Linked DNA regions of Drosophila melanogaster. The protein of the gene in region 1 purifies or fractionates together with the protein of each later gene. This does not show direct contact. Each region holds a gene or a part of one and is shown on either strand. Other genes may lie near its edges.

Evidence for each region. Proteins that work in one complex are often made in the same cells at the same time.
Region 2: the proteins of HSPC300 (region 1) and SCAR purify together in Drosophila melanogaster (affinity purification with western blotting; 4 studies listed by BioGRID, with this or other methods). This does not show direct contact.

The regions. Positions count from the first base shown.
Region 1 is NT_033778.4:24,026,545-24,031,624, forward strand, and holds HSPC300 (haematopoietic stem/progenitor cell protein 300), read right to left. Parts: upstream 2,246-5,080; 5' UTR 2,191-2,245; coding exon 2,070-2,190; intron 1,581-2,069; coding exon 1,471-1,580; 3' UTR 1,173-1,470; downstream 1-1,172. Other genes in the region: EbpIII (ejaculatory bulb protein III), read left to right, coding at 471-851; CG3163 (uncharacterized protein), read left to right, coding at 2,834-3,940; CG30172 (uncharacterized protein), read right to left, coding at 4,157-4,299, 4,426-4,621.
Region 2 is NT_033779.5:10,974,077-10,982,771, forward strand, and holds SCAR (SCAR), read left to right. Parts: upstream 1-2,695; 5' UTR 2,696-2,994; intron 2,995-3,821; 5' UTR 3,822-3,885; coding exon 3,886-4,630; intron 4,631-4,803; coding exon 4,804-4,905; intron 4,906-5,556; coding exon 5,557-5,637; intron 5,638-6,368; coding exon 6,369-7,036; intron 7,037-7,102; coding exon 7,103-7,352; intron 7,353-7,410; coding exon 7,411-7,589; coding exon of another isoform or gene 7,590-7,646; 3' UTR 7,647-8,319; downstream 8,320-8,695. Other genes in the region: abo (abnormal oocyte), read right to left, coding at 1-134, 192-1,136; ATPsynG (ATP synthase, subunit G), read right to left, coding at 1,826-2,085, 2,175-2,214; piwi (P-element induced wimpy testis), read right to left, coding at 8,582-8,695.

The DNA of each region.
Region 1 (5,080 bases):
CTCAGTTAGTTCCAGCAGCTGAATTGCTTCACATCTATTCGCTCCGAGTCGCCCCACAAGTCGAGCCCCATTGTAAGACCACCGCACCGTTTATAGTTTTTGGAGCCGATCGGCTCGGCTGGTCGACTGGTGGCTGGTAGTAGTCCACACACTCATGGACGCAGCCAGACGGGCAACCAGTTTCATTGTGTATAAACAGTGACATCTTTTCAGACAGCGAATGTGTTTCAGATACGCATACAAAGTGGCCTGCCTGGCTGTGCATTAATTTGCATACAAATCCCATAAGTCCACAGATACATTTTGCGAATGCAGTCGCGCTCGATGGCTAGTAAAAATATTTTTCCATTGCCCAGTAAAATCCCCTGCGCACAAAACTGGTTGCCCGACCAACAGACCCACTAAGCCACAAAAGTGCTGATTAATCGTACAAACATACTTACCCCAATTCGCCCGCAGAAAACTCCAAGATGAAGATGATACTTGCGCTTGTCGTCCTTGGACTGGTGCTGGTCGCCGCCGAGGATAAGTACACCACCAAGTACGACAACATCGACGTCGACGAGATCCTGAAGTCGGACCGCCTCTTCGGAAACTACTTCAAGTGCCTGGTGGACAACGGAAAGTGCACCCCGGAGGGCCGGGAGCTCAAGAAGTCCCTGCCGGACGCCCTGAAGACGGAGTGCAGCAAGTGCAGCGAGAAGCAGCGCCAGAACACCGACAAGGTCATTCGCTACATCATCGAAAACAAGCCCGAGGAGTGGAAGCAGCTGCAGGCCAAGTACGATCCCGATGAGATCTACATCAAGCGCTACCGCGCCACCGCCGAGGCCTCGGGAATCAAGGTGTAAGGCGGATCCCGGTTCCGGAAACTCTTGGTTATATGCACTGTTAATTAGGTCTACGCTTATATCTGATCATCAAAATTATTTCTACGATCGTGCTCGGAATAAAGAGATTTGTTTTTTTACCATACACCTGCCGAGTATTATATCGTTATCGAAGGGGGATTTGCCAGGCTTCAGAGAGTATATAAATTAACTATGACAAATGTAGCACTTAAGTCTAGCCTCCTGCTACTAGAACGATGATTAATCTAAGCACAATTAAGGTCTTAGAAAAAACATTCACAAGATTACGACTAGACCCTAATAAGCGGCTTATATATGGCGGGCGATTTGCATTAACATTGACAATAAAGGCAGCTACGGTTAGTTGGCAAAAACATCGCGTGCTTGTCTTGGTTCTGAGCTATTACTTATATTATTCTTAAAAGGGGCAATGAATCGAATCCGATGGCCGCAAGTAACTCAGCCGTGAAAACCTTCCTTCAAAGAACAAACAAACAATGTACAGCGAATTATTAATGTCACGGCAATTCACATTGCGAATCAAAAGATATTAAATATTAAATCAGTATTTTAATTACTTATAAATGTACAAAGCTTAGTATAAGGTTGTGGGCAGCGTTTACGTTAATGTTTCACCCTGGGCGACGCACGCCTCCAGATAGTCTATGCGCCGCTCCAGGATCGTTAGTTTTTCGTTCAGCACCGCCAGACGGGAGCGACAGGACATATCTGAAAGGATATGATAGCACACGATGATACAGTTTATAATGCCAACAGTGTACATAAACCCTATTAAGGATATGGGATATTTTAGCAACCCAACTACCTCGCACTCTTTGGCTTATCATTTATCACAGTATTTAGCGTATCTTAAATTATGCATAGAGCAACCGAAAAAGCTTATCCAATTCATTTAGGTGACTAATTCGGATAGAGATAAAGCCGAATTTTCGTTTTGAGCCCTCCGATGATGTTACATACATACATTTCCATATGTATGTAGATACATATATTGCTATACATATATGCCACCACGCACAAACCACTGTTTGTTTCTATAGACTTAAGACTTGAGTAAATAAAGTCATTGTCACTGATGAATATTTGTTAGTAATATTACTTATGCGTTCACCCACACCTACAAAGGAAGTGATAATAAACACGCGCACACACACATGCGTCAGAGGGAAGTGGGTGCTTCGTATGCAGGTTGCTTACCGAAAGAGTTCAGAAAGTCGGTGATTCTCTTTATGCTGGCAGTTATCACTTCGATATACTCCCTGTTCGCCCAGTCCTGGTGGATCTGCTTTTGGATCGCCTCTCTGTGAGCCCCACTCATCTTTATTTATTCCTATTGTTTCTGTTCGTTTTAATTGTGTTTATCTAGAGATGAGAGATGGGTTGGGCCGGAACAATTATTGTCAAAAATTTGGAACTATCGATAGGCATACAATTACCGTGTTCACCGTGATTCATTGAGATCAAATTTTTACTCCAACAAGAAATTTTAATGGTGTTTTACAACACTCCCTAAGCACTACTATTTAAAAATTACGCGGGAAAGTGCGATGAAAGAAATAACTTAATATTTTTGTCTGCCAACTATAGCGTGTAAATATGAATAATAAAATAAAGGTAAATAATAAAAGTATTGGGGTAGACACAGCCGAATATATAAAGAAACTTATCGCCGCAATATACAATTGTATATCGCAATATACATAGATATATTCGAATTTGCGTTTGCTATATTTTATATTAACCGTGGGTTAGTTTTCGATGTTTTATTGTTTTAAATGATATTTATTAAGGAATTACTGCAAACCAGCAAAGTATGTACCCATTTTGCGGTCCGATTCCGCGTGTTCCAATCGGAATGAGCCGAGCGAAACGATAGCTATTGATGCCACTCACGCACACGCACACATAGATAAACTAGGTGGCCCCGTAAACTACAGTGTTTTTCATTTGGTAAACAAAAAATGGACTTTATCGACGACTTCATCGAAGAATACAAAAGCAATCCGTGCTTGTGGAAGGCGGACTCGGCGGACTTCAGGAACCGCAGCCGCCGGCAGGAGGCCTACGCGAAGCTCATCGAGGTGGCCACCAAGCACGGGGAGATGTACAATGTGGAGCGAACAAAGCAAAAGATAAACAATCTGCGCTGTGCATTTCGTCATCAGCTGAGGAAATACAACGAGGTCAAGAAAAAGGGCGAGAAGTACGAGCCCTACTGCCCCAAGCGCCGCTACTTCGAGTCCCTGATGTTCCTTAAGGACGAGGAGATCCCCGCCGACAAGAAGTTCAAGCGCGAGCAGTCGGTCTGCCTGGACAACTCCATGCAGCTAGGGGCGCCAGAGAACGGCGACGAGTATTCCGACGCCGAGAGCCTGCACAAGCCCCCAAAGCCGACGGCAGACTCGATCAAGATGTCACCCAACAACAGCGCCAACGAATTCTGTGCCAACATCTTCGAGGAGGCCGCCGCCGCCGCTGCCGCTGACCCCGTTATCAGTATTAAAACAGTCAACAACGCCAACAGCCATGCCAGTGGCGCTACTATCAAGGAGGTCGAAATCGTGGTGCCTGCTAACAACAGGCTGCTGTCCGCCCGCAGAAAATCCGTGCCCGACTCCATAAAGTCTCCGCCTGGCGACTCCGAATCGCCGCAGTGCAAGCGCATCGTCACCCAGAACCAAACGAAACTGATCAGTAATCAGAGCCCGAGCCAGAAAGCCAATCACATAACACGGAAAAGGTCCTCCTCGGTCTCTTCGCAGATTTCGGAGGACAACGAGCCGCCTCCAGGTAAATTCCGAGCGGACATTTCCACCATTGACTTTGAGCGCCTCTTTTCGCTGGCCCTAAAGAGTGCGGACAGCCAGCTGGACGACCACTTCTCCAACTTCGGGAAAATTATCGCACACAAGCTTCGCTCCATGGACGGAACACAGGCTATCTACGCGGAAAAGATCATCGCCGATGTGCTGTACCAGGGCCAGATGAAAATGCTGTCCTCGCTGAGTATACACCAGTTTATGGGCGTGGACAATGCAACAGTTTACCTAGAGAGCCACAGTAAATGATGGCCTGGCCCCTTTAAAGACGTACTTTTAGAGTTTATGTAATAATAAGATGTAAAGAGACAGTCATGTGTACAAAGCCATGTTTTATTTAAAGGAGGGATTCCTTTCAGCCGCCTAATCCTTAGAAAATCCCCTAAGCTACGAAACCAAATGCTAGGAATGATGTCGAGACTAGTTTATTATATTCGATGCATGAGAATAACATTTAAATGCCATTTAGGCACTGTCGTACTTCCTTAGAAGCATGGCCCATACGTCCGGGTATCTAGTTTGCAGAAATGTGGTCAGCTTTTGCGCTTTTTGAGCCTGTTGTGGGGAGCAGTTCCTGCATTTCCTGGTTATAACTTCTGGCAGGGCAGCTGTAAGAACCAAATTCGAAATAATTACATTTTGGGCTCTTTACCAATTGGCGAAGAACTTGAAAAGAACTTTGGACTTAAAATGATGTTGTATCTGAACGAACATTAAACGAATATGTTTATTACCTTTGAGTTGAAGTCCCAGTTGGTCGCATTCGCTCTTGCCCAGGATGCACATAATCTGGCGGCTGACCACCACCTGGTTGTTCAGCAGCTTGTTAATGTTTCTCTCATCCGCTTGGACACTCGATGAAATGAGAATGATAAGAAAAATAAAATTAACGACCAAAGAAATCACTCGGTTTTTATTTAAAAGTAGCATCCTTTCTGAACGCGAGACGGTATAGTATAACTGAATGTGGAGCAGAAACTGTGTATCTGTATCCCGCAGATATTCGTGCATGCGCAAAGGAGCTGGACTTCGCAAAATCACGGAAAGGGTAATGATTGCTAAGCACTGTGATTACAATCCGAATATCTGATGAGATGCCACGTACTCTATATACATGGCAATCTTTCGTATATGATAGCATTCCTTCAAATTGGCTATCTTGGTATTCTATTCAGTTGTAAGCATCTGAGATATGTTCAAAGCATTTTTGTACCCAATTTGCAATGGGCAGCCCAGAAAGTAAGTCAGCACCTGCTGTTCCATGCGATAAGAAGGTAAATAAAGAGCTTTCAATGTTTTTGCGTTGTGCTTAAAAGTTATGTTTTACTAAAACAACACATTAAGTACTTTGCAAGGCAGTCAAGACAAGAACAGAAGTATCCTACGGTT
Region 2 (8,695 bases), on another chromosome or scaffold:
GTGTAGAATACATACAAGCGGCGCGGTGATGTAGCCATGGGCATGGTATCGGTACCATTTGGCCGCTCTTCATAGCGCAACATTAGAAGTTCATTGTTCACCAGATGCATTCTCTCCATGATCATGTGTTCTATCTAAATGAGATATGTAAGGATGTGAAGACCGTTGTCACTCTTTATAATGTTACTTACATACTCAAAGTTTTTATAAAACGACTTCTGACTTTCCGTCGGGTTGCCACTTTTATCATTAATTTTACGGTACAGAAAGCTAAGGACGCGCTGTTTAATGTGCGTTATGGGCAAAACTGTGGTGGCGTCAAGATTGTCAAAGTCTGTGGTAGCCTTCTCGATAAAGTCCCTCGGCCTGGGACCAATAGTCTCCTGCTGGTGGAACTTACCGTCATTCACCCAATAGACGTAAACGCACTGATGCAGCCGGGACATCATCATCACTGTTGAGCCAAACACGGAAATTCCATGATTGTGGGCAATGACGATGGAGTCGTTAGGCAGGATAAGTCTATCTGTGACGACGCCTAGCTTCAAATCCACCAGAAAGAACACATACGAGAAGGCGTCCACTTTGTCGAACAGATCTGGGTACCGTACGTAGTCATCGACCGGCAGTGCGCCGCGCACAACGGTCATGGCAGCCAGCATGGCATAACGACCCTCTTCCAGGAACACACTGAACTCCCGGTGCAGATAGTAGAGGCCAAAGTCGCCTTGGCATAGATTCAGCGTCTCTTTTGTGGGAAACAGGCGTTCAAAGATCCTGCTCTTGAGTATGGTGTCCTGGCTACTGAAGCACTCGCCACTGCCTACATCCGCCTGGCGAATCAGTTCACCCACCGCCGCACAACTAGAACCCCCGTAGCTGTATATGAGCAGACTGCGCTGATCCTGCGAGAAGGCCAACAGTTTTCTGCCATCCGGCGTAAACTTGCGCAGGTAGATCGGCGGAATGGTAATCGAGTCAATTGTCAGGCAAGGCGTGATGCACTTGTAGAAGAGACGCTCGTAGGCCAACAGCGGCATCCTGCCCGGCTGTTGGCCCACGTTGGTGTATCCGGACTCGCGGTTCTGCAGCAGATGCACGAGGTTCTGCGATTGTAGGCGCTTCTTGTAGGCCATTCTGACAGATCCTGGGAAAGTTCTGCCAAGTTCCTATTCCTAATGTCAGCCGGGTTCTTCTTCCGATCGGAAGGTAACTAAAGTAAAGTGTGACCGCAGTTAGATTACAAAAATTTACTCTGTCTACAAAAGTTTTGTTGTTAAAAAATATAAGTATAATAATAATAATATTAATGCTTTTCAAGATTCAAATAAAAAACGTTATTTATAAATAAAATAATTCAATACATCTTACTTTACTTTGTTTAAAAAAATGTGTAAATGAATTATCTATGAAAAGCAAATTTAGATTTATTTATTTTTTTTTTTAAATAAAATTATTCTTGAGTGCTTTTAAATGCTCTAAGTATATTATGTATTTCTGAACCATTAGCCTCTTTGATTACGACACCGTTTCATAAACATTTGATGTATAACATTACATATATTTTTTTAATTTTTATCATTAAATATCGTCAACTTTTAATTCCAAACTTGGTTTTACATCACCTCATCTTTAGCTTACACAAATCCCGCGCAAACGTTCTAACGGTTTTCAAAAAACAATGTATTTTTCGAAAATTTTCGGAATTTTAAATTACTATTTCACTTTATTCAGAGTCGAAATGTTCGCAGACATATAAATATACACATCTGTTAGGGATTACGTTGCCCATTCCAGTGACTGCCAAGCGGAGACTATAGTAAGCTTAGACATTGTAGCCTACAATGTGACGCTTGCCGATGCACTCGCCGATGTAGAACCAGAAGATGACCTCGGCGGTCACCAGGGTGTTAAGCCAGGCCTCGCGAACCGTGAGGTTCTTGTAGGCGCCGGTCTTGGCTCCCTTGATGATGTTGCCCAGTCCTTGGCGAATGGCCGGAATATCGGCGGGCGTCGGGGGCGTCAGTTCCACCTTGGCGTACTTCAGGAACACGTCCAGTTGGGGCCTCGCCTGTGTGAGGAGCCCTGCAAAAAGTGATCATTACATAATTTTGCGATTGACAGGCGCCAATGGTGGTGTATCCATTCGATTGCATTCGATTCACGACACTCACTGTTCACAAGTCCTGATCCCTTGGTAGCCAAACTCGCCATCTTTTCAATTTGGTTCTGCAAGCAGTTGGAATTATACAAGAGGAAATCAACGAAATGTGCGGAAAACTTACCTATTCAGTGTGCGACGAAACAGAGATGTTATGCATTGGGGCCAGGGCTGGAGCACTAGTTATCGATCGGCGGATAAATACCAAAAATACCAAATATACATTTCTAAAGTTAATGGAAGAAACTGCAAACAGTAATTTTAAATAACGTTAATAAAATAGCTTATTATGGATAATATAGAGTTAAAATAAAATAAAATAAATTGAATATATATTTATATTTAAAATATTTCATTCTATACAGTAAATAAACAATATGAAATGAGTTACTGAAAATTCCCTTGCAAAATTTATTTAAATATAGTAATTAAAATACATATTACATTTAATATAAAAATAACTTTTTCCCCACCGCATCGTGCAGTATATTTGTCTGATTTTCCGAAATGATGAATCCCTGCAGTATTTTCGAACCACAAAGCTTCGGTCACACTGCAAAGGTGTGGAAATCTTAGTTTCCACAAAACGAGCAAATATTTGCAGTTTTCAAGCCCCAAATTGGCTAATTAGAGTTCGCATCGGATCGAATTTGCCACCGAACCCCCGAAACGGAAGTGGCTGCTTAATGTTTGTTGTGGTGCCAGCCGCCAAACGAAAAGTGTGACGGGCGGTGAGTGTACGATATGCTGTAAAGTGAGGTGGACTGTGTAAAACTAAGCTGCGCCGTTCAAAACCAAAATCAAAATCGCAGCAGCCACTACGATTAGAAAGTGTGAGAGATACCTTTGTGTGTGCATTGTTGCGATTTAGTGCGAATGTTTCAGTGCGAAAATCTGAAAGAGTCAGCCGTTCCGTCCCACACATATGTATGTACATTTACTTGGGTGCTGCTGCTGCTGCGGTTCATGCGTGTGTGTGAGTGCGTGACGGTCTAATTTGCGTTGGTGGGAGGCCGCCGACGATATACGTATATGCACGTATGGAATAGGTGCCCACGTAAAGGCCCCAGGTCGTAGCACCCAGAAACTGCCACCGAAAAGGGGGGCATTATCGACTAATCTCGCCGGGACTGCAAGGTGCATCTTGCGGGGGTGACTTGGGCGTTACGCCCTTATCACCTCGCTGTGGGTATCGTTTCGTGGGGTGTGGTCCAGACGTCGAGTTCGTCAGTCGCGCATATCACAAAACAATTCAAATGGCATTTTGGTGATTGTAATGAACACGTCTCATGGATACATGGATAAGCGTCTCGTGAAATCTTCTGCAATACCATTCTGAGTCTTGTTCATAGACGGTTTAGTATAGTGATGACAAAATTTCTTTTAAACCAATTTTGATAGTATCCAATTAACTTTTTAAACGTCTACTTTTACGGGAAAATTTATAAACAAAGTTAAACGACAATTTGGGAAGTACAATTTTATCGGAATGAAATGTCTTCAATTGATAATCAGCATAAAAAGAAATCTTTTTATTATTGATCCCAATTTGGCATGAGATTATGTAGTAAATCAGTAAATAAAGGGTTTTATATTTAATTAATTTTAAATGCATTAATTCGTATTAAAACAATTTATTACTTATTAATGCCGTTTTCAGTCGATGAGGACGCACTAATTTACGGGTTTGCCAATTTGGAGATAATTGTCAATCGCGCCCGACCATGCCGCTGCCCAAACGATCCATAGAACCCGTGCATGTGGCCCGCTCCGTGTATCAGCAGGATGAGCTGCAATCCGTGGAGCTGGAGACGGTCACCAACACCACGCTGACGAACATCATTCGCCAGCTGTCCTCGCTGTCCAAGCACGCAGAGGATGTGTTCGGTGAACTGGCCCGCGACGTGGGCAACATCGGGGATCGAGCTAACTCCCTGCAGGCGCGCATCGATCGCCTAGCTATCAAAGTTACCCAGCTGGACAGCACAGTTGAGGAGGTGCCCTTGACGGACATTACCCGAAAGAAGGCCTTCAAGTCGGCCAAGGTTTTTGATCAACAGATCTTCTCGCGCGCCACCATGCCGGCACCAATGATGGACACATATGCCCAGTGCGACAAACCGCCGCCCCTCGACAAGCTTAATGTCTATCGAGACGATGGCAAGGATGGTCTTAAGTTCTACACGGATCCGAACTACTTCTTTGAGTTGTGGCGACAGGAGATGCTGAAGGATACCGAACGTGTGATGCACGACAAGGGCAAGAAGCTGAACAGACCGCGGCAGGATGGCGGTGCCGGCGGAGCTGCTGGACGTGGCAATAAGAAACAGAAGACCAAAATAAGGGTGCCGCACAATACGCGCGAACAGCAGCGACAACGTGCACTGGTGCACGGCGAAACATTGATGCCCAACAACGTCATCTACCGCACACCGAATTCCATGGTCAACGAAGAAGCCGGATACGGAAGTAAGTACTTGGCGAAAGGGATTGGTCTCCGTGTGAGCCAAGTATTCAGTGCGAACCAAATTCATAGGCTGTTATTGGTACGTTCGTTTCGCGCACTGACTATTTGCACTTGTCTTGCCTATTGAATGGTACATCTATTTTAATTATCAATTATGTCCTGTCTGCCCGTGTAGTTCAGCTAGTCAAAATACAGACTGTGGGCGAGGCTGACATCGATTTGCGGCATAGCACTCTCGATGCGCACCACCAAGTTGTCGGTAATATCCAAGACGTAGGTACGATGATGGGGCCACGTAGCTTTCATTTCCGCCCGGCAGACATCCCACGATACAGATGTACCCGCCATTCATTCACCTACTTCACTCAAAAGCTCGCTAGTTTTCGATGCGCCTCAAAACCCAGTTCGAAGATCACTAATTTGTATTATTTTGAAGTTGCTATTAATTGAAATTAACCCACACAATCATGACCCAGAGAAAGGTGACCGAAACAAAGTTTCCAGAGCTTAAAAAATAAATGAAATGGTACTTAACATAAATTCCATCTAAAGTTTGATTAAAATCTCAGATACAGGATATATTCGATCTAATTCATTATTATTACACCATTAGCAAAATGGTCTATGGCCAGTCTAGTTCATCCTCCTGTAAGTTAGCAAGACTTTCGAACTTGATTTGTCTCTAATTTGAATTCACTGACTTTGTTCCAATGAAGTTCGTCTTGTTGATGGTAAATACAATACGGTCAGAGAACCTTACAATTTCATTCTCCGAATGGTCGATTATTTTTCGCAGCTTTTATTTATTTGCATGTTGTTTTTATGAACTACTCTTTCGTTGTTTTCGGTTATGATATTAATGAACGTGAACATAAATATGCATTGCAATTACGAATGGATCAATCGCGCATAACCATCTCATTTACAGATACAGTAAAGCCTTATAATATGCTTTCGCATTTGGAGAATAACAGTAATGTCACCAAGCAAACCGCCGTTGCGATTGCAGGTTAGACATCCACATCCACTTTTAGCAAGCTCAGTAAAGACTATATATGTTCTTTCACTCGCTTCTATCCCCATATTACCTTACTAGCAATCCTTTTTGAGTTCCTTTAGCATTTGTGTGTACAGAGAACACTCTCTTTTTCAAACTATCAATCGGAATGGCGATGATTTATGAGTTTCATTGGTCATGCAAAGTGCAGATTTATTATCTCAAAACACTGTAAACTAGTCACCTTCTAACTTGCAATTTTAATGTAATGTGTGTGCACATTATATTTACAATGCATCTTGCATTTTGCATAATACTTTAATTCATTTCATACTCGCGATTCGTGATTGAGCCGCAGTTTTTGTTTAGGATCCTCCTATCTTTCTGTTGTAGTTCAGTCAATTTCCATATCTACGTCTACATGTCACTCTGCAGCTTTACTAATTCCTTTCTGTCGCCACATCTTATTCTACGAAAGTATCTCTAAATTGTTTTCTGTGCAACGAGCTAACAAAGACTTTTAATCGGATGTTTGTATATTCAACAAAATTTCTATTCGAGTCCAGCGGTCTCATATGCACAGAAATTTGGAATTGCTTGTAATTACATATGTGTCTTATTGTTCCTCGGCTGTAATTACAAAATAATTGGCGTGTTTTTAAATGAGATGTGTGTCCTGTAAAAACGTTCATTTTAATGGGTGGTTAGTCAACGGCTCTAATATCTCACATTCATTATTCTAGATATGGGAGTGTACGATACACGTCCGCCACGTCCTAACTCGATCGAATTGAACCGAAGCTATCAGTCGGAGCAGATCGATGGTAGCACCTACGAGCAGCTTCCACCGCAGATGGGTAATCAGTATGCTGCCACCTTCGGCAACGGCATGGGTGGCCCCCAGCAGATGCACATGCAGCATCAGCAGATGTATGACGCCGGAATGTATCAGTCGCATGCGCTGTACGGCCAAACTGGACAGGGAGTGATGTCGCCGGAGCCCATCTACGGACCGGGAACACCGTCGCGTAACAAACCGCGTCCGTCGCAGCCGCCACCGGCTCCGCCATCGAATGGCAGCGGTGGTGGTACGCCCACAGCCTCCAATGCCAACACTCCGACAAGGGGCAGAAGTATGTCGACCAGTCGGGATGCCTTGCCACCGCCTCCACCAGTTCCAGACGTCATTTCACCAATGTCTGGCATGAACGGAGTCAACAGCGGGCATATGGCGGCCAAACTGCTTGGCCGGGCGAACAGTTCGTCGGGAGCTGGATCTCCCAACAGCGTCCAGAATGCCAATGATATGGTCATGACGCAACTGAGCAATACTTTCCACAGCATCGGTATGACGGGCAATCAACTGAACTCCCTTAGCGACTTGCCGCCACCGCCGCCGGTTCCAGATCAGGTTTGTTGTTCACTGATGGGTGTTAATATATCACAATTTGGTTTAATTTGTGGCAAAACCTTACAGCACTCGCCTAAGATGTCGCCACCTAATGCCGCGCCACCACCGCCGCCGCCACCGCCTCCAGTCGAGGAAGGCATGGGCAGTGGCAACCAACACACGCTGCGCCCGCATCAAATTCTTCCCAAATCACTGGCCAATGGCGAAATGCAGCAGCCCGGCCAACAAAATGGTGTGCCTCACATTGTCGCACCCAAGAAGATGCTGCCTCCATTCCATGACCCACGCAACGACTTGATGAAGGCCATTCGAGATGGTAAGTAATTGCCATTCAAGGTTCGAATGCAAAAATATCATCAAATTAATCTTTCCAGGTATTACTCTACGTAAAGTTGAAAAGTCAGAGCAAAAGGAAATTGAACGAAACGCGGCGCCATTGGATGTGGCTTCAATCTTGGCCAGACGTGTGGCTATCGAATTATCCGAGTCCGAGGATTCGGATAGCGAAGACGACAGCGAGGGCTGGATGGAACCGAACGAAACATCGGCTTGATCCCTGATTAACTCGTTAAAGCCTGACATAATTCTAAAAAACAAAAAGAAGAAGTAATTCCAAAGAGAATTAATCCATACGATGGTCGAAACCAAGCGTGGTATGAAATTGGATTACACAAAAGCACCAAAGCTTTTCTACCACCCTTTATACAATATACACCTAATCCTAAATAATATGTCTAAAATCAAAAGTTTCATTGAATTGTATATACACCAACGAGTAATTATCGTTAAATTAATCGCTATAGTGAACGAACGCATTTGCATTTTAAGCCTAGACGACAATCCAAGGAAAGCGATTTAAAAGACTTGCTAATTTTGTTCGCTTCTTTGGAGTCAAGGTCTGAGTAGATATGGGCTTCTGTATCATAGTAGTCGGTGTTTGGATATTAAATTATAAATAATCGATATTATCACTGAACTCAATCCTACCCCAACTTGCAATCGATACGATTAATATAAAACATTTATCCAAAATGAAAATTTAGAATTTTGTAAATACAAACACATTAAAATATATCGAACTCCGTAGCATTTCAGTATACTCAACAAGCTATGAAATTGTATTATCCTTGTGAAAGTTAAATACCTGTATAATTAATAAAATATGTTTCACGAATATAAGCAGCCATGAATGTGTGGTTAAGTAAGCAAACATGGATGTATGTAATTTTTCTTTACATAAACTAAAATATACAATAAAAAATAAAGTAATTATATTCCAAATTAATGAACATGTCTTGATAGATAACTTTAAATGTTTGTTTGGGAATTTCCTCTGGTCTTATGCTTAAATACCAGAATCTTAATCCTCAATTTTGCTTTTGTTTGAAAAAAGAGCAGTAATGCATTTCAAATACAAAATATTTAGTCATAAATGCTGAAGTGCTTAGCAAAAGTAAGAAAGTATTGAAAAAGTATAAATGTCTGGGCTAGTTTCATATATGGCCTCTTAGTAAGGATTAATACTCCATTCTAAATTATATCCAATTATAGATAATAAAACTTCTTTTCGAGCGCGTTTTGCGGAATAGAGTGCAAGTTCGTACCCACGAGGGTAGCTAGCTTCTTAGCGTACTGGCAAACTGCTGGCACTCGTGTGGT